Drosophila melanogaster: one gene and its partners. The protein of the gene in region 1 purifies or fractionates together with the protein of each later gene. This does not show direct contact. Each region holds a gene or a part of one and is shown on either strand. Other genes may lie near its edges. The genes, in order: Clamp, NELF-B and Nelf-A.

Region 1 (5,995 bases):
GACACAGATCTTCCTATATAATCATGATTGCATAGTGCATGCAAACCAGTTGACATTAAAAGAAACAAAACTACAATCCCGTGTAACTAAAATGTATTCATTCTTGAATAATCCTATATACATATGAATATAAGTTTGTAATGACCGCAAATTCAAAAATGGACCCTAAGCAAAGTCCATGTTCGCAAATGTATACGTATACGTATTTATCTTGATTTAACTGATGGCGAATTCTAGTAATTTAAAGCTTTATTATACAAGCCATGAATCCTAATTCTTAAACACTTGGTTTTGATTATTGTAAAAAATTCGTTGCCACTTCACAACTTTACTTTAAATATGTAAAAATATTTTATTTTTAACAGATAATACGCAAAAATATAAATATAAGAAGTTTAAAAGAGTGCGTCCATTTTACAAATCAACAGCTCTAATTTTTTTGAAAAGACAGCAGTAATTCACATCATCTAATTTTCGATAAATTTTAACTTTATTTTACTCTTTTACGTCTATGAATATTTAAAGTTTTGTGTATTTATTAATTATATTATTGCCAACATTAAAATTTACTGACCTTATAGCTTCACGTAAGAATAAGATGAACGTGGCAAAACACTAAAAAAATTATATTTAAAGTGAAATGGTGCTTACATTAATAAAAAAAAAACGCATAAGACGTCGAAAACGGTGGAAAATGTGCCTATTTCTGGGATCCCTCTATTCTTCGTTAAGGCACTTGCAAATGGAGTAGGTTAGTAAAAAATTGTATTTTATTCAAATATTTATTTGATTTTATGCATTATTTAATACATACTTATATTAGATAGATTTAATTAAAATATATTTAAGCTTACAACTTTCAACTTATATGTGTGTGTTTATTACCTGTGCATATTCATACGTATCGGATTTGCTCGTATCGTCACCTAATAAATCCATATTTTACACCTACAATTTGTATAAGAGAATAGCCTATAACACTTATAAATACGATGCCTATACATATATGCGTTTAATGTTTAAAGATGTTTAAGTATATTATACAAGCTATCAAATAAATTAGGTTCATTTGTATGCTTATCGTAAAAAGCGTTTTTGGGTTTCGCCCATTTTTGAAGATCCCACATGAAAGTGGAGAAAGGACATATGCAGCTGAAGTGTTAACGATGGAACATCGTTTTCTATTCTTTAATATCATTGTGGTGATATATGCGCCCTTAGAGATGGTTCTGGGGCTAGCATAGGTGGAGGCAGATGATCATAGTAACGCTCGATAAACTGAAGCTAAGCAGGGTGGACTCCAGTGTCTGTGACTTCATTAAGCTGCCTGTCACCTCTGCATTTAAACTATCTATAACCCACCGATAATCACTTCCTGTTGGGCCTCATCCTCCATGTCAGGAATCTCCTGCTTATGCACTATCATCCCATCGCTGCTGGTCTGGCGAGGAGCAGTTTGGCCGTACTTTTGGTGTATGCCGCGGTGACGCTTGAGTGCAAAACGATCAGCGAATGCTGCAGAGCAAATCTCGCACTTGTAGGGTTTTTCTCCGGAGTGCACCTTTGCGTGGTTCTTAAGGTGCGCCGCCTGAGAAAAGGCCGATCCACAAATTTCACACTTGTATGGCTTTTCGCCCGTGTGAATGCGCCTATGATTCCAAAGAGTAGCGTGGCGCGCAAATCCTTTGTCGCAAACACCGCACACATAGGGCCGCTCGCCACTGTGCGTGCGTTCATGGTTCTTGAGGTGTGGTGACTGTGAAAACTGCATGCCGCAGGTTTGGCATCTATGTAAAGATAACGGTAATTAGTATAAAGAGTATAATTTCAAGTAGAAGATTGGTATTACTTATAGGGTTTCTCGCCTGTATGAATGCGCGCGTGGTTTTTCAAATATACGGCTTTAGCAAAGGCCAATCCACAGATGCTGCACTTGTAGTTTTTTTCACCGCTGTGCAGCTTTTTATGGGACCACAGACTTGAGTAACGTGAAAACAGACCACCACATATATTACAACTGAAGGGTTTGGACGGATTTCTGCAGGACAAACACCTTGGTTTTGTTAGCGTAGGATAAGGTTGCAATTTCATGTTATACTCACTCAGTTTTAACAGTAACTGATTGCTTTACCGATCCGCCCACCCCGCTGTGTGAAGCATGGGAGTGCTGCCCCACTAGCACCACGCCGGAGCCATTGCATTTCTGGCATTTGGTCATCTGCTGGGAATTTCGTTTTTTCACAGGATGATGGCCAGACCCACTGCTCGCCTCTCGCTTTGGCGTTGTACCGCCAGTCTGTGCAGCCACAATTTGCTGAAGTTGTGCTTGGGCCTGAGGAGTCGTTGATATGATTTGCACGGGATGCGCCATTTGACCTGCAAAAGATGCGATGAAGTTAGTTATGGTCCATTTAGAATGTAATCTTTCACAACTACCGTCTTGGGCGACGAAGAGCTGCTGTTGTTGTTGCGCTGTTTGTTCAGCCTGCATGCAGGACTCGCAGCGCACCTGCTTTGGACCTTTGCGTTTGGACTGCTGCAGCATAGAGCTTCCACAATTTATGCACTTGCTTGCCTTTGACTCATGTTGCTGCTGCTGCATTACAGATTGCTGAACCGGCTCCAGCGTGTCAGAAGACACAATCTGTATCTGGCCCATCTGACCATTTCCAATAATGTTCTGTGCCTGCACAAGCCCCTGCGCGCTGACCACGGCAATAGAATCGCCGCCCGCTTGGGCGTTATGTTGCTGTTGTTGCTGCTGTTCCCCGTCTGTATGCATCCGCTTATGAGCATTAAGAAGTGCCAAATGAGGGAACATATCTGAACATACGTCACACTTAAAGCTTATGTTGGATATGGTGTTCTGCAAAGAAGAAAATCTTTAGGCTTTGCTTAACGAGTCTTCCTTTTACATACAGCTGCAATTGGCTTATTTTGATTGACAATCTGGATGCGGCCTTGTGCGTCTACCGTGGCGATGCCAAGAGCTGCACCCTGATTGAGAGGCATTCCGTTGACCAGGGCGTAATTGTATCCGCCCACGGGCTGGGCTATATAACACGTCTTATTGTCGTCTGTGGTGGCCAGCTGTGCGAGATTGACGGTACCGCCATTGCCCTATGTGAAGACAATATGAAAAGTCAGCACCAATAACATATAGTAAGTAAACTACTTACATTTGTCGTGTAATAGAAGGTAGGCTGCTGCTCCGTTTTTTGGCCCTCTATTTTGGGCTGTTTAAGAATGGTGCCATCCGCCGTCTGGTATTGAATTGTGGCCGGTTGCCCATTAATGGCATTTGTGAAGATAATGTTTTTGGTAAGGTCTTCCATGGTCCCCAAAATTCGAGTATGCTCAAAAATTAACTTTTATCATACGTTGGCCTTTTATTTACTGCAGCTCTGTCGCGCTTTTCAACACTGCATCACGCGACGCTAATTCTATAAAAGAGAAAAAGAGATGAATATAGTGCCATAGGAACCCAGCGAAAACGACTGATTAAAAATGGCGACGGTGAGACAAAAAATATGTACATACGCGACACAAAACATACACAGACGAACGTTTAATGCAGCAGCTCTTTACATTAACAGACTCTAGTATCTAAACTGGAGTCTAGCACATTTGTTTTTTTATCATACAATATTACACTACATGTGTTATTTTTTTCATTATTAAAATTACCTTTTACGCAACCGGACCACACCATAAATTGCGCACTGCCTGCTCCACAATAAAATTGTTAAGATTTGAGTGGTGTAAAATTGTATTCGTGAATTGATAACGTATTTTAACGATATATTGTTTGGAATAATACAAGATATATATTTAAATAGTGTTATCTTTTTCTAACAAATTCCAGCACTTTAACTTTCAGTCCATCATTTTTTACGATTGCTAAAGAGAGATGGAGACAGAACAACGCTCAGAGATAGAGCAGACGAGCAGCAGTTTTACTTTTTAAAAGTGTGACCGTTTCACGACTCATGAAAATAATCATTTCCCTCGAAAATATACCAAAATTCACAAAGAACTGGTAGGATTTCTTAGAGCCCTTTTACACTAATTCGATAACTCAGAAAACATAAATATTTTTATATACGTTTTGTACTTCGTAATTTGGATTACATCACATGTTGTCTTACATGTTGTCTCTTACTCAAAAGGCAAACGCTACGATCAGTAGAATCTGGCTGTTACTAGCTTTCGAAAAGAAATATCTTGTGCTGAGCTGCGTTAAAAACACGTTTTAAATTTATTGAGACTTAACTTTTAATATTCTACAAGCTAAGGTAACACTGTAAGAGCAAAGACACTAGAATATTCTAGTGTCTTTGGTAAGATCATGGGCCATGGTTGATAACAAATTCCATAAGATAACGAAATTTTACAGGCACTCGACTTTTAACTAATTCTTAAAGATTCCATATAAAACGTACTTATTTTTGTATACTTAAATCTTTTAGGAATTCCTATTTATCTTTATCACTCGATGTAGGGGAGTGAGTTAAGGGACAACAGATTTTTTATGCCCCACGTAGTGACGCAAGTTATCCAACCCATAAATATAGCACTCTACCAAAAGCTAAACAAATTTCTAACTCCAATCTCAGCAGCGTTGCCTTTGCCCTTGTTTTTGACGCCAACACTTAGCCACCCGATATATAACCAAACTTAAAGTAAACACAACTTCCACTTGGAGACCAAGCCATGGTCAACTTATTGCGCTTCAGTCAAACTGCGTCAGTCAGCAAATTTGAATTTCACAATGCTGGGAAATAATTTCAGTGTAAAGCTTTTATCCTAAACATATTAAAAAGCTTAAGAGAATCCTAAAGAAAAGCTTCTGGCCGAGGTTGAGTGGATTAGGATTAAGATTTAGAAGATCAGTCTGAGTCGGGACGAGATCGTGAACAGCTTCAAATCAAAGATAAGCTAGTAATAAAGTGTCTTGTAATAGTATAAGTGAGGAAGTCTGTCGCCGAATAAATATTAATTAATAAAAAATAAAAACTATTCTTTTAAATAATTAAATAGCAGCAATTTTAATTCGCATACGTTTTGGTTTTGAGCTTAAGATCCTGGATGAACAAAGTTCTGCGAGTCCTGTTTGGTGTTGGAAAATTTCAGCTTCCAAAAGATTTAAATACTCTCGGCGCCCAAATTCAAAAATTTATTAGTGTTGGCAAGGCAACCAACGTGGTCAAATGTTTTTTATGACAACAGCATTTAAGGGAATGTCTTGAGATAGTAAGCTTATTTATTAGCTATTTTTGAGGAATGAAAAGACAAGTTTTATGGTAGTGATTTCGAACGATTATGTGTATGGTTTTGGAAAAAATTATGTCAGAAGGAACGGAAGGAAGCGTTTCGGGCATTATAACGTGCTTATATTCTTGTCTTCGGCTACCAATCCTTCTGTTCGTATACTTTTGAAAAGTTCTTTATCTTAAAAAATTAAGTTGTTTTTCTTGATAATTTGTATTGATATGCTTGAACTATTTCGCCACGACCAATTCAACACCCAAAACTTTTTGTTTTCATTGTTTATATTTTGCATTCCTTCTGGCTGTGTAAACGGTATCTCAATGTCCAACAAATTTGCTTAAGCGTTCTCTCTTATTTAAAAATAATTTGGTGGTAATAGAACTTAAATGAAATATATGTATATCTGTTTAGCTGCTTGTGATGTAAAAGAAATTAGAAATTAATTATGTGTTTACATTAAGATATATATCTTTCCCGCTTTTATTCTGTGTTCAAACCGCATGTGTTTTATATCGGCTTAATATACATATGTATGTCGGAGATTGAGTAGATCTAACGCAGTATTTGAATGTAACCGAAATTATGTTTTTGAACCGTTATGTTAAGAATGAGTTAAGAGTAATGAAATTCATGGAAATCGTTCCGTTATTGAGTAAAAATCCTTTGTGTATGTATTCAAATGAGCATGGCGCCAGTTGTTGTTTTGGTAGAGTTTCGTGGAAAC
Region 2 (4,616 bases), on another chromosome or scaffold:
ATACAGTGTCATCCGAGACGCCCTCCTCGTAGGCGGTCAGGATGAAGGTTTCCGCCTCATCGCTGACCAGGGTGATCTGCGAGGTGCCGTGATGTGAGGAGAGCGTGGCGGTATCGTGATCCGATTGCCCGTCATCGTCCATCACCTCGTCGTCGTCATCGTCCACATGCTGTTTCAAATGCAGCATAGCTCCAATGGGCAATGTGGTACTATTCGCGCCTCCAATGCCTCCACCGGCGCCGGCAACCCCACTCGTCTCATAGGTGATCTGTGTGTTCCGGTGCGATTTCAGTTTCGGCTGGTACACCTTCGACAGGAAGTCCAGCTCCTTGGCGTAGCGCCACTTGGATAGCCGCCCTTCGATGTACTTGGGCGTGCGCAGACGGTACTGGTGGAAAGTGTCCCGCAGGTTCTTCCACTTACGACGCACCTCCTGCACCGTGTACTTGTCTGGAAGAAAGAAAGAGGTAGTATAAATATGAGCGGGGTTTCAAAGGAATCGTATTCCTTTTACAGATAATTGATACAAGCTAGAACCTCTTCAAAGGCATCACATTTATGAAAACGTTTCTAAGTAACGATGAAATTATGAGTTGTGTTATAGTAGCCGGCGCCAGAACACTAGCCTATCAATACAATATGCATGTGGTATTTAAAACCAACTTTAGCGGAAGCTTATATTAATTCTGGAAGAAGGCTAATAGTCGGACATGAAGCAGGCCATGACTAGCACTCACTTCCTATCTGCTGGGCCACCTCCTGCCATCCGTTGAGGACATCGGAGCGGCGTCGCTGGTTCGGCTGCAGTTTGTAGTTGTAGAGAACCGGATTCTGGCGCACCAGGTTGATCAGCGTAAGGATGTCGTCCGTGGGCGCGTTGTCCTTGTGGTAGCGCTTGCGCTCTTGCGTCGACGAGGACATGTTGCTTCAGCTTCTGTGGGTTTCCACTGTTGTGCTCTCCCAAATCCTGATGATCCTTATCCCGATACCAATGCTGCTCCTCACATTCAGGTGTTTTGTTTTTGTTTACCCACGAAAAGAGAGGCTTTCGTTCTCGTCGAAATGCACGCACAAACACATACACAAGCGCACTTGAACGGAGCCAAACACCAGCTTATGTAGGTGTAGGAACACGCACGCACACACTCTCGCACACTCGATGCAAAGGATAGCGACTGTGTGCAGCAGGATCTCCTTTGTAGTCGCTACGGGGCACGAATCTCGGCAAGAATCGAGACGCCTTGTCCTTGGCGTTCAGCTCCAATTGTGCGAATTTGACTGCACTTGATGCTCTTGCTTTGCTTTTGGCTGTTTTTGCTGTTGCTTATTTCGCGCTAGGGATGACACATCGCGGAATTGGCGTTCTCTTTCGCCGTCACTGAAAAGCAAAAGTCCGTTTCCCTGTATTTATAATCCTCAATTAAAAGTTACGTTCTTATACAATTAAGTCGTATGGGAATGATGTTCTAAGGCAAACTAATTAAAGGTTTTTATTTTTTGAGTTCAGTTTTTTTACCAACACTATTAGAAATTAGACTTATATTGTATTTGTGGCCCATATAATTTTTTTTTATTATCTTTATTAATTTTTGTAACATTTACCATTCTACCAATAATAATAATACAACTATTTGTTGGCAAAATAATATTAATAACTACATGTTAAACATACAAAGTTGGCTATTACAAGCCGTGCTGATACGTGCACTATCGATAACACCGCACATGTGCAAGCCTGCGCTTATTTTTTTGTCTCCTCGCTAGCAATAAAAAACAACACAATTGTGTAGCTTCGTGTCTTGTTTTGCTCAATTTGCCGACGAATTGCATGATAATGAGCACACCGGCGAAAAATAACAATGGAACTGGACTGGAGGACGTGAATATTCCGGGTCAGGCCTATCTGCGCGAGGCCCTGACCTCCTGCACTGATCCCTTGAAGGCCATCGAGAGTTTTCAGGTTTGTTTACGTTGCACCGAAAAATGGGCGCCAAAAGTTCGGTGGGCTTATTTATCCAAATATCACCTGCCTTTTTAGCTTGAGAATGGTGTATTGCTGCCTTCACTGCGCCCCATGTTGCCTTTACTCGATTTGCACGGCGTGCGTCGACTGGACTTTCATACCTCGCTGATGGAGGAGCTGCGCGACAAGCTGATAGCTCACATCAACGAGATGGGCCAAAAGGAGCCCCGGGAGCGGGACAAGAAGCTCAAGGAGCTGCTCGTTAAGAGCTTCCCCGTCGTTCGGGTGAAGTCGCTGCGGCCCGTGGTCATGGCCATATTGAGGAATACCCAGCACATCGATGACAAGTACCTCAAAATCCTTGTAAGGGATCGGGAACTGTATGCGGACACGGATACGGAAGTTAAGCGGCAGATATGGCGTGATAATCAATCGTTGTTTGGTGACGAGGTGTCGCCTCTCCTCTCACAATATATTCGCGAGAAGGAGCACATCCTGTTTGATCACACCAACTTGAACAATCTGTTCTTCCACCCAACGCCCAAGGTGCGAAGGCAGGGGGAAGTAGTCCAAAAGTTGGCCAACATGATTGGCACCAGTGTCAAGCTGTACGATATGGTGCTGCAGTTCCTGCGCACTCTATTCCTGCGCACCCGCAATGTTCACTATTGCACGCTGCGTGCAGAGCTACTGATGGCCTTACACGATCTCGAGGTGCAGGAGATCATCTCGATAGATCCCTGTCACAAGTTCACCTGGTGCCTGGACGCCTGCATAAGGGAGAAGAATGTGGACATTAAACGTTCACGGGAGCTCCAGGGATTTCTTGACAACATCAAGCGCGGTCAGGAGCAGGTTCTGGGCGATCTGTCCATGACTTTGTGCGATCCGTATGCCATCAACTTTTTGGCCACGTCGGCCATCAAGATATTGCATCACTTGATCAACAACGAGGGCATGCCGCGTGACAATCAGATACTCATCCTGTTGTTGAGAATGTTGGCCTTGGGCTTGAGTGCCTGGGTGATGATCGATTCGCAAGACTTTAAGGAGCCCAAACTTGATTGCCAGGTGGTCACCAAGTTTTTGCCCGCCCTCATGTCGTTAATGGTTGACGACCAGTGCCGCAGCTTGCACGCGAAACTACCGCCGGACGAGCGTGAATCTGCTCTGACCACCATCGAGCATTCGGGACCGGCACCGGATGCCGTGGAGGCGTACATTCAAGAGAGTTCCGTGGCCAGCATATTGGCCATGTACTATACGCTGCACACGGCGCGCCTGAAGGATCGCGTGGGCGTGTTGCGCGTCTTGGCCATTCTGTCCGCCTGCAAAGACGACCGCGCATATGAGGATCCCTTCCTGCACTCTCTGGTTAGCATTTATAGCTGCTTTTCTAATATTTACTTTTCTGACTCGATTGCTTACCTCTACAGATTGCCCTGCTCATCCCCATGAGCGAAGAGTTTGCCACGGAGGACTTCTGCACCACGCTCTTCGACGAGTTCATCTTTGCCGGACTGACGCGCGAGAATGTGACCTCTCGTCACATGCTGAAACTTTTGTGGTATGTGCACAATAAGCTGCCCGCCGGTCGTTTGGCCACATTGATGAAGGCTATGCAGCCGACGACGGCCCACAACGAGCACATCCACAAGTTGTACGAAATTCTGCAGGAGAGAATCGGCACCGGGGCGGCGGAGACGCCGGTCATTGAAGCGCCGCCCATGGAGTTTGATTCGCCGCTAAAGAGTGTGCCAACGCCAGGACCGCACTATAATGTCCAATAGCTAGAGGCACCGGCAGTCGCACCACCTGCGGCTGTCGTCGGATGATGATGGTTATTTGTGATGATGATGTTGATGTTGATGATGATGATCGGAGGCCATGTATGTGGCTACCTCATATACTTCTCTGGAGCAGCCGACCGGATGGCAATCCCCAATTAGCATGCTTGCGCAAATAATAATTCTACTGTTTAGACTAAACATAAAGCACTGCGACCGAGCAATCGGATATAGTTTACATATTTACAGAATGTATGGCTTTGTTGGCAGGCATCAATCAGTTGTCGCTGGCTATTATATATATTATATATTACTGTTACGCTAGTGTAACGATCGATTCTAGTACACAATATAGAGTACAAATCTAAGGCAATGTCTTTTAGTTTCATCAGGGTTTTTGAAAGAAATATTGGTTCCCGGTACCAGTTTCTGTAATCACATACTCAACTTTTAACTCATCTTTACTCAAATTTAATGATTTACATAACTGGAGTTTCTTACGGACATGGATAATTGAAAGATCCTAATAAATTTCGGTATAAAAGTTTTTTAACGCTTATAGCTTAGGGAAATACACACAATTTAGGAGGTTTATTAGGGATAGGAGTCTTTCGTCTCATGTCTGATCTGTTTTGGAACTGGAAACTGGAGCTGATCCCGCTACGGAAGCGGCCGGAGATGTGGAAGCAGCCCCACCGGACGTGGACGCTGGCGAAACTTCCACGGGAGAGGTATCCAACGGAGGTAGTGAAGATGAGGCCGACAAAATCTCATCATCTATGCAAACGGTGGGCGAGTCTAGAGTTTGAATCTCTGGCGAGAGACTAGGAGCTGGCTGTGGCACAGACAGCGATGACGTGGATGAT
Region 3 (7,892 bases), on another chromosome or scaffold:
CTGTTCGTGTACAAGCTTCCGGAACAGCCCACGGCCAACTACTATCTCTTGAGACCTTACTGCAATTCGGACGAACAGCAAGTCAACGATTTGTGCACTCGCCTGTATTTGCAGTGGCGGGGAGAGCTGGACGGAGGCAGGCACATTCCGTTCCCGCTGCCGGCGAATGTGCCAAACATTGTGGCGGATGGGCTGATCGGTGGATATCTCACCCTCAGTCCGCAACTGTGCATTGTGGCCTACGACGAGAGTAACCGTATCATTGGATATTCATGCGCCGCCCTGGATGTCAACATATTTCGACGCAACCTGGAGCTGTGCTGGTACACGGAACTGCGTGAGAAGTACTCTAGAGATATTTGTCCACTGGAGGGTGGCGAGGAGGTTGTACAGCTCGTCACCTCCCTTGTGGAGAGTTATCATGACAGCAGCGGTAACGGGGCTCTGGACCAGTGTCCCGTAGAGGTGAGCGGCTCCTTCCCTGCCGTGTTGATCTCCGGAACTTTGCGCGAAGCGGAGGAGCGCGACTCGGGAATAACCAAGCGGATGCTCACCGTACTTCTGGCCGCCCTGCGTGCGAACGGCTGCTTTGGTGCTCACGTTCGCGTTCCGCAACAAGATGTCGCCCAGGTGAACTTTTATTCCAGAATCGGTTTCGTGGATGTCTATCGCGAGGAGGCCACCAAGTGTATTTACATGGGTCGCCGTTTCTAGCGTAGCTGGTTGCCACCTTCACTGCCTCCACTTTTAATGTTCCTTCATCTTTGGTATTCCGGCTAGCGGTGCTAGCTACTCACGTCATGTCCTCGTCCTTTTTGTATTCCCTTGAGGTATAAAGTTTGTATAACTGACCAACCCTTCCAGCATTTATCGTAAGCATTGTTTTCTTACTGAGAAAAACAATAAAAATACCAATTTAATAAAACTTTTGCTAGCTTTTGTTCAGGTCGTAGAACCAGACGGTGTTTACTCCGTCCTCTATAATCTTCACGTGCTCTAGGCTGGGTAGTGGAAAGCGGCAGGCGATAATCTTGGTGTTGTGCGGACACTCAGCAATGAGTTTGTGTTCTAGATCTTGCATCATCTGCTCAACCCCAAAAATGACCACGAAGTTGTAGTCCTTTATATCGAACTTCCAGAGATCTCGCCGAAAAAATCTCGTCCGTTTGGAAACGCTGTGACGCAGCGCGGCCAGGCGCGAGTAGTAGACCAGCCATGGGTTTAGCTCCACGCCATCTGCTTTTAGAGCACCACAATGCTGTGCCGCAGCTGGAAAGAATTACATAAGTTATCTGCAATGTTTTTAAATGGACTAGGTGAAGCGTACTTACCCACTACAATCCGTCCGTCGCCGGATCCAATGTCCAGCAGTTTTCCGGCCGAATTCTTGGGCAGGAAGCTGAGAACGTTCTGTATTTGCTCGGTCGTCGCTGGCACATAAGGCAAGCAAATCCTCCGGAATGCAGGCGCCACAAAGGAGGCGCACACAATCGACAGACCGATACCTACTCCGCCCGTTGCTGCTATCAGGATCTTGCCGCCCGTGGACATGCCACTTTTCGGCGTCTTGGCAAGCGGATTCGGAGCAGATTCGTTGAGGAGTTCCATTTCTATTATCAGAAATTCATGTTTACCTCAATTGCTTAGTATTCAGCGATTATTTATCGATAGCTGGTAGCCCTGCAGGGGGCGCTGTTACAACGGCGTTTTGCACCACTGGACCGTGCACACTGTTTGACATGTGGCAACACTTTTTTCGTGCGTTTGATGTGTGCGTGCGCTTCCTATTACAATTTTTTCGAAGGATTTTTCGTGTGTCTTGTTGACGTGCAGCGCGGCAGAAAGTGAAAAACGCCATCAAATAGTGCCGTGCAACAGGGCGGGTCAACGTTTGGCATAAATTGCAGTGTGTGCCCCGCGTGCGGACAGGCGTAATTCGAAAAAATGGCGAACGTAAGGGACAGCGACACATCACTGTGGCTGCATAATAAACTGGGCACCTCGAACGACTCGTGGATAAACGGCTCCATCTGCTCGCAGCTGAACAAGGAGGTGCTGCGCAACATCAAGGAATGCTTCCCCGATCTGCAAACGCAGGTCAAACTGAAGCTCCTACTCAGCTTCCTTCACATCCCGCGCCGTCTGGTGGAGGAGGTAAATGAAATCCAATGAATTGAAATGGCGTTGGTGTATGGAAAAAGTACACCAGTGCATACGCACGCATACTGCGGCCCGCGCGCACACGTACACGGAGTACACTTACCGTTGTTGAAACAAAAAGTGCGGACAATTTTTAAATACTCGGAAAATCTCTTAGATCCCATCACCTGGCGGACCCCAAAGCACATTTCTTCGCCTTTTAACATTTCCCCCCCGGGCGATTTCGCGGGTTGGTGAAAATAAATATTAGCAACGTTTCCCGCCACTTCTGCTTTTGTGTACACATTTCTCTCTCTCCGACACTTGTGCGTGGATTTCTCTCCCGTGTGCCTCGGTGTGTTCATGTGTGAGTGGGCTGTTGTGGGTGGCCGCGGATTCATTTGTTTGTTGTGCCCTTCCCACAGAGCAATTCGAATTTTATCAGACGTTTGACATCGCAGTTAAAAGATACATTTGTATCTCCAGGCTGCTGAGCTGGTAGACCAAGTATAAATACAAATAACTATTGATTTTTTATTTGATTTGCAACGTGCCGTTATAGTGTAATTAAAATCTGTATTTAATCGATCATACCAGGACTACCAGATCGTAAATATTCATTGTATCTATTACCTGAAAGTGTATTTGAGCATCGAGTTGTCAATTTATTTATGCAACCCAACCCATTGTTGATTTGATTGCAATTTGCAGTGGAAGGCGGAACTTGAGGAGGTGATCGAGGTAGCCGGCCTGGATTCAGAGCTATGGGTTTCCATGCTGGCGGAGACGATGAAGACCTTTCCGGCGACCAGTTCGCTCAACACCGAGATCTCCGATTACGAGGACACGCGTCCCATCTTCATAGACATGGTCAACGACCTGCGCAAGCTGGTCACAAAGCATTCGGACCTCGGCATGCTGCCTCTGGAGTGCCAGTACCTAAATAAAAACGCACTGATCTCAGTGGTGGGTATAGACAAACTTACTAAATCTTACCTGTTTTGAACTAATAATTTTTTCTTGTTTAATTCAGGTGGGCCAGCAACCCGCTCCCGTCAAGCATTTTACGCTGAAGCGCAAGCCGAAGAGCGCCCAGTTGCGCACCGAATTGTTACACAAGTCAGCCGATGCGCAGTCCTCGCTGAAGAAGGCCTCGGCCCCCACAATACCGCTGCGATCGCGTGGCATGCCACGTAAGATGACAGACACTACCCCGCTGAAGGGAATCCCATCTCGCATGCCCACCACTGGGTTCCGTTCGGCCACCGTGCCGGGAAATGCCGCCCAGCGCCCCAATCTCAGTCGAACGCCTGCTGGACGCAAAGACGGTGGCATTAAACTGATCGAATTCACCGAACAGCCCTTGGGTTATGCGGCGGCTAAGAAGCGAAAGCGCGAGCAGCAACTGGAAGAGCAGCAAAAGAAGCAGGAGCAGAAACAGCAACAGGCAGCTGCAGCGGCAGCTGCGGCCGCCACAGCAGCGGCAAGCAATGCTGGTGACAGCTCACCAACGGACGCGGCGACTGCCAGTGGAGGCGAAACACCCGTCACGCCCACGTCAGCTAACAACAGCTTCGAAATCAAAATGGAACCGCAGCAACTCAACCAGAGCGCTGGAAGCCTGGAAGAGCCGCAAGACGATGAGATGTCTGGCAAAGCGAATATGGAATGCGATATCGAGACGCCGGAGTACGCTACAGCCACGCTGGACTTTGCCCAGGCCACTTCGACGTCCGTGGCGGATGGTCAACCGGGAAAACCAGCAGTAGAAACGAAGCTGAAGACGCCGCGAACTCCGAAATCCGCAGCAAAACTGAACAACAACAACAACAACAACAACAACAACAGCTTCAATCACACCCCAAAACGAATCAAGCAGGAAATAGAGATCAAGAGCGAGGAGATCATAGTACCCGCCAGCATCAAACTCGAAAAGATCGAAACTTCACCGTCGACCCAACGCGTCAGTATCCAGCAACAGCCGCCTAGTTTGGTGCAGCGCACCCCGCACCTGCTTATCCGCAGTTCGCCGCAGAAGCGGCAGAACAACGGGGCAACCACGAGTGCAGGCACAACCACAACCACTGTGGGCAATACCACCATCAAGATGGAGAAGCTGGACATCAAGCCAATGATACGCGCCACCGGTGTCTCGCCTTCGACGAGTGCGGGCACTACGACTACACTTCTTACCCCGCAGCAACTGCGTCAGGCGGCCAATCCGTTGGCCAATCTGCCCAACAATATCTCCGTGAAGATAACCTCTGCCAAGGCGAAAGCGGCAGCTGCAGCAGCGGCAACATCCAGTGGCAGCCAGACTCAGTCGCAGCAGCCGCAAACGTTGCAGGTTCAGCAGGCGCCTCAGCAGTCGCATCCCCCGCTTTTGATTAACAGCTCCACACCCGTGATCTTGGCGTCCTCGCCCAGCGCTCAGAGAGCGGTAAGTATAAAATTATGCGTAGCTCTATTGGAGAACTTTTAGTTAGGAATTTCTTTAATTTTCCTGGACAAATATTTGAAATTCTATCACCTGCCATAATGAAACTTAGTCCCTCTTTGCTAATTAACTTAATTCTTCGGTTGCAGAAGGCTTTGGCTTTGCCTAGTAGCAGTACCTCCGCCACAACTACCACGACGATACCGTCGCAAGCCATAAAGACGATGCCACTGAGCCAGCTGAAGACGGCTACCAACAGCGGACCAGTGATCATATCGCAGACTATTATCCAGCCGGCAAAGCGAGCCCAACAACAGGCTGGAACCTCCAGTGCAGCGGCCGCTTCGCAACAGCAGCAGCAACAACAGTCGCAGCAGCAATTGTTACACCAGCAAATCCAGCAGCAGACCCAACAGCAGGCGCAGTTACCACAGCAGCCTCAGCAGCAACAGACGCAGTATATTCTAGCCACACCCCAGCAGCAACCGCAACAAATTCAACAGCAGCAACAACAGCAACAGCCCATTTTGCCAACGCTTACCTCGTTCTCACACAGTCGGCCTATGCCGCAGACTACGACGCTTTACCAAGCCACTACTCCTAGCGGAAGCGGTCAGACGCCGACCAAGATTTTGCTAAAGACATCGGGCTCTTCAAGCGTGGTGATGACGCCTCTGCGCCAAGCGCAGCCGCAACAGGCCACCGCTGTGGTGTCGTCGAATCCTCCGCCATTGGTGGCCACTTCGGCGGCAGTAGTTTCCCCGGGTCAGACAACCCTGAACATTCAGAATGTGCAGCTACCCAATCGACCAGTGACCATCCAACCAGCCTCCCAAGCCGCCCAGCAGCAGCATATGCAGGCCCAGTTGCAGCAGCAGCAACCGCATCCACAGCACACGATCGTTGCCAATACGACGGCCACGCAGCAGCCCAAGTTGTCTCAGGTTCTAATGCAGCCAACTGCAGCAGTTGGCACCAGTGGTGTATCCGCTCTGAACGTATCCCCTACGTCCGGAAAGAACAAGACCATCATACTCACCCAGAAGGGCGTTATACTGCGCAACATTGGCGGCGATATGTACCAGCAAATACCAATCAGCAATGTGGGCAACATGCAGGGACTCGGAGGCACCACGCTGATGACAACCACAGCTGGGCCGCCGAGTCTGGTGAAGACAACACCCTCGAGCGGTGTACAGTTGCAGCAGCAACAGTCTGGAAAGCAGATCCTGCCCACTCTCATACCAACCAGCTCGCTTGGAGGACAGCACGTTATTGTGCAGCAGCAGCAACCCACCAATGTCATCGGGAATGTAAGTGTATAAATTATGTTTTGCCAAACATTATTGGCAATAGAAATCGTAAATCTCTTTTCCCCACGTCCACTATGTTGCTATATGTAAAAATCTAACCACATTTGTATCTATCAGTCCCAACAGCAGACCATCATTCGGCCCGTTATGACCAACGTGGGCGGAGGCTTGACCACGCTGCCGCAGGGCCTGACGCTAATTCAACGGCCGGGCCAGCAGCCGCAGCTGGTGCAGGTGCAGGCGGCGCCGGGCAGCACGCAGCGCACGATTATTACCCAATCGAACACGGCGGCGGCGGCGTCGCAACAGCAGCCGCGCCAGCAGCAGCAACAAATCCTGGTCCAACACAAGCCGGCTCCGACCCTGCAGCAGCGTTTGGTCACCTCCACCACCAGCGGTGGACAGGGACAGCAGGGAAATCCGAATGCGGGGCTCCCGCGTACCGTGCAGGTGCAGGTGCAAGCTCAGCAGCAGCAGCAACCACAGCAGCAGCAAGCTACGCAACAGCAATCGCAGCAGGCACCCCAGCGACGTGGACTCTCTCTATCGGTAACAACATTGCACATATTTCTTTAAAATTAGATTTCAATCCTGTCCTGTGGTTTCTTCTAGAACGAACACGTGCACAAGGCGCACGAAATGTTCCGCAAGGCAAATCGCGTCTCGCGACCTGACAAAGCCCTTATCCTTGGATTTATGGCGGGTCTGCGGGAAAACCCGCGCCCAAATAACGAAAACGTGCTGGTCATCAAGTTGGGCGAAACAGAGGTAAGGCTATTTGCGATTTATTTCAAGCTTCTGCCTTGGTTAATTCTCAATGCTTTATGTCAATTGTTACAGGAAAAAGTACAACAGGACAACGGCCACACGGCACTGTGCCTGGTTGAGTCACACATCCGGCTGGACTACAACACCGGTGAGTGGAAGACATTCCAAAACTACAGGCTGCAGGACCAGAGTGCCGCCTCATAGTCCACAAGGGTCATACGCATAGTTCGCAGCAACAAGTGAGCAGGGACAGCCAGGCTGCAACTGGTTTGTGCGTATATGGATTGTTGAATATGTATTTTAATTTGTCATCCGTTCTGCATGGGCTGCTTCGCTGCCGCCCCTAATTAGGCTATTATAAACCCCCTCTCTCCTAAAAACCCTCACCACAACCTCCCGCAGTCAGCAAGACGCCCTAAGAAATGCTGGATATAATGAAACTATTTTATAATTAAGATAATTTAGCTGTACAGTTGTTTAGAATGTAGTAAAGGCTAGCGCTTAAACATTTAGTAAACAGGCCCGTTCGTACATCCATAAAAACACCCATTCATCCAAGCACACTGGCATAATCACCTCTGGCTGAACGCTTCACTGGAGAGCAGTTGGCAAGGCGGATGGGCCAGAAGTGAGCGTTTGGACGGATCACATAGGCACACACACATGCCTCACACATGCATTTTAAAACTGCATATATATACCTAGCTTATGTAATTGCTGTCGAGTAAAAAGTGTGTAATTATCTTACCAAGCAGCATAAAATTTAGAGACGCTGATCGGCGCTCGTATTCATTAGAAATCTAATGAAAATATATTTAGTTTTAGATATATATGTATGAGTCGCAGCCACCACAGCAAAATTAACTTAAATCTTGAAATGTGTAATAGACAAACAATAAAACTAGCATATGTATTTATGGCTTAAATGTTAAAACATCTGCTCTTGTGCTTGATTATGGAAAATGTAGGTCATGCAAACGTCAACTCACTCGGATATTCAAACACTCGATCAATTGATCAATTTGGTTATCAAGTGGTCTGCGCCCAAGTGGAATTCTAAAGACCTATTGGCGTGGTATGTGATTGAATTTTGAAATTGGCTGTAAGAGCAGTTGTAATACCAATAATCATTGGGAAAATAATTCCTCTTATACAATGTATAAGATTGTACATTGAAATTCCGCTGGGTTGGAATTTTGGAAAGTGCCTTGCCCACGGCCAAGAGAGCGTCAGTG

Evidence for each region.
Region 2: the proteins of Clamp (region 1) and NELF-B purify together in Drosophila melanogaster (affinity purification with western blotting, with the first as the bait; one study listed by BioGRID). This does not show direct contact.
Region 3: the proteins of Clamp (region 1) and Nelf-A purify together in Drosophila melanogaster (affinity purification with western blotting, with the first as the bait; one study listed by BioGRID). This does not show direct contact.

What each region holds. Positions count from the first base shown.
Region 1 is NT_033779.5:22,165,201-22,171,195, forward strand, and holds Clamp (Chromatin-linked adaptor for MSL proteins), read right to left. Parts: upstream 3,944-5,995; 5' UTR 3,688-3,943; intron 3,444-3,687; 5' UTR 3,336-3,443; coding exon 3,180-3,335; intron 3,121-3,179; coding exon 2,920-3,120; intron 2,867-2,919; coding exon 2,437-2,866; intron 2,377-2,436; coding exon 2,103-2,376; intron 2,054-2,102; coding exon 1,850-2,053; intron 1,788-1,849; coding exon 1,352-1,787; 3' UTR 520-1,351; downstream 1-519. UniProt on the Drosophila melanogaster protein: Transcription factor involved in X-chromosome dosage compensation in males, the process by which transcription of the single X chromosome in the male is elevated. Binds to the DNA sequence (GA)n.
Region 2 is NC_004354.4:7,725,496-7,730,111, reverse strand, and holds NELF-B (NELF-B), read left to right. Parts: upstream 1-1,750; 5' UTR 1,751-1,828; coding exon 1,829-1,960; intron 1,961-2,038; coding exon 2,039-3,337; intron 3,338-3,399; coding exon 3,400-3,753; 3' UTR 3,754-4,116; downstream 4,117-4,616. Other genes in the region: CG12155 (uncharacterized protein), read right to left, coding at 1-450, 738-921; hira, read right to left, coding at 4,367-4,616. UniProt on the Drosophila melanogaster protein: Essential component of the NELF complex, a complex that negatively regulates the elongation of transcription by RNA polymerase II.
Region 3 is NT_033777.3:21,221,926-21,229,817, forward strand, and holds Nelf-A (negative elongation factor A), read left to right. Parts: upstream 1-1,778; 5' UTR 1,779-1,944; coding exon 1,945-2,154; intron 2,155-2,263; exon of another isoform or gene 2,264-2,664; intron 2,665-2,850; coding exon 2,851-3,105; intron 3,106-3,172; coding exon 3,173-4,579; intron 4,580-4,725; coding exon 4,726-5,889; intron 5,890-6,006; coding exon 6,007-6,438; intron 6,439-6,501; coding exon 6,502-6,657; intron 6,658-6,729; coding exon 6,730-6,861; coding exon of another isoform or gene 6,862-6,900; 3' UTR 6,901-7,587; downstream 7,588-7,892. Other genes in the region: Oga (O-GlcNAcase), read left to right, coding at 1-714; CG3337 (uncharacterized protein), read right to left, coding at 932-1,269, 1,332-1,608. UniProt on the Drosophila melanogaster protein: Essential component of the NELF complex, a complex that negatively regulates the elongation of transcription by RNA polymerase II. Has an essential role in postembryonic development.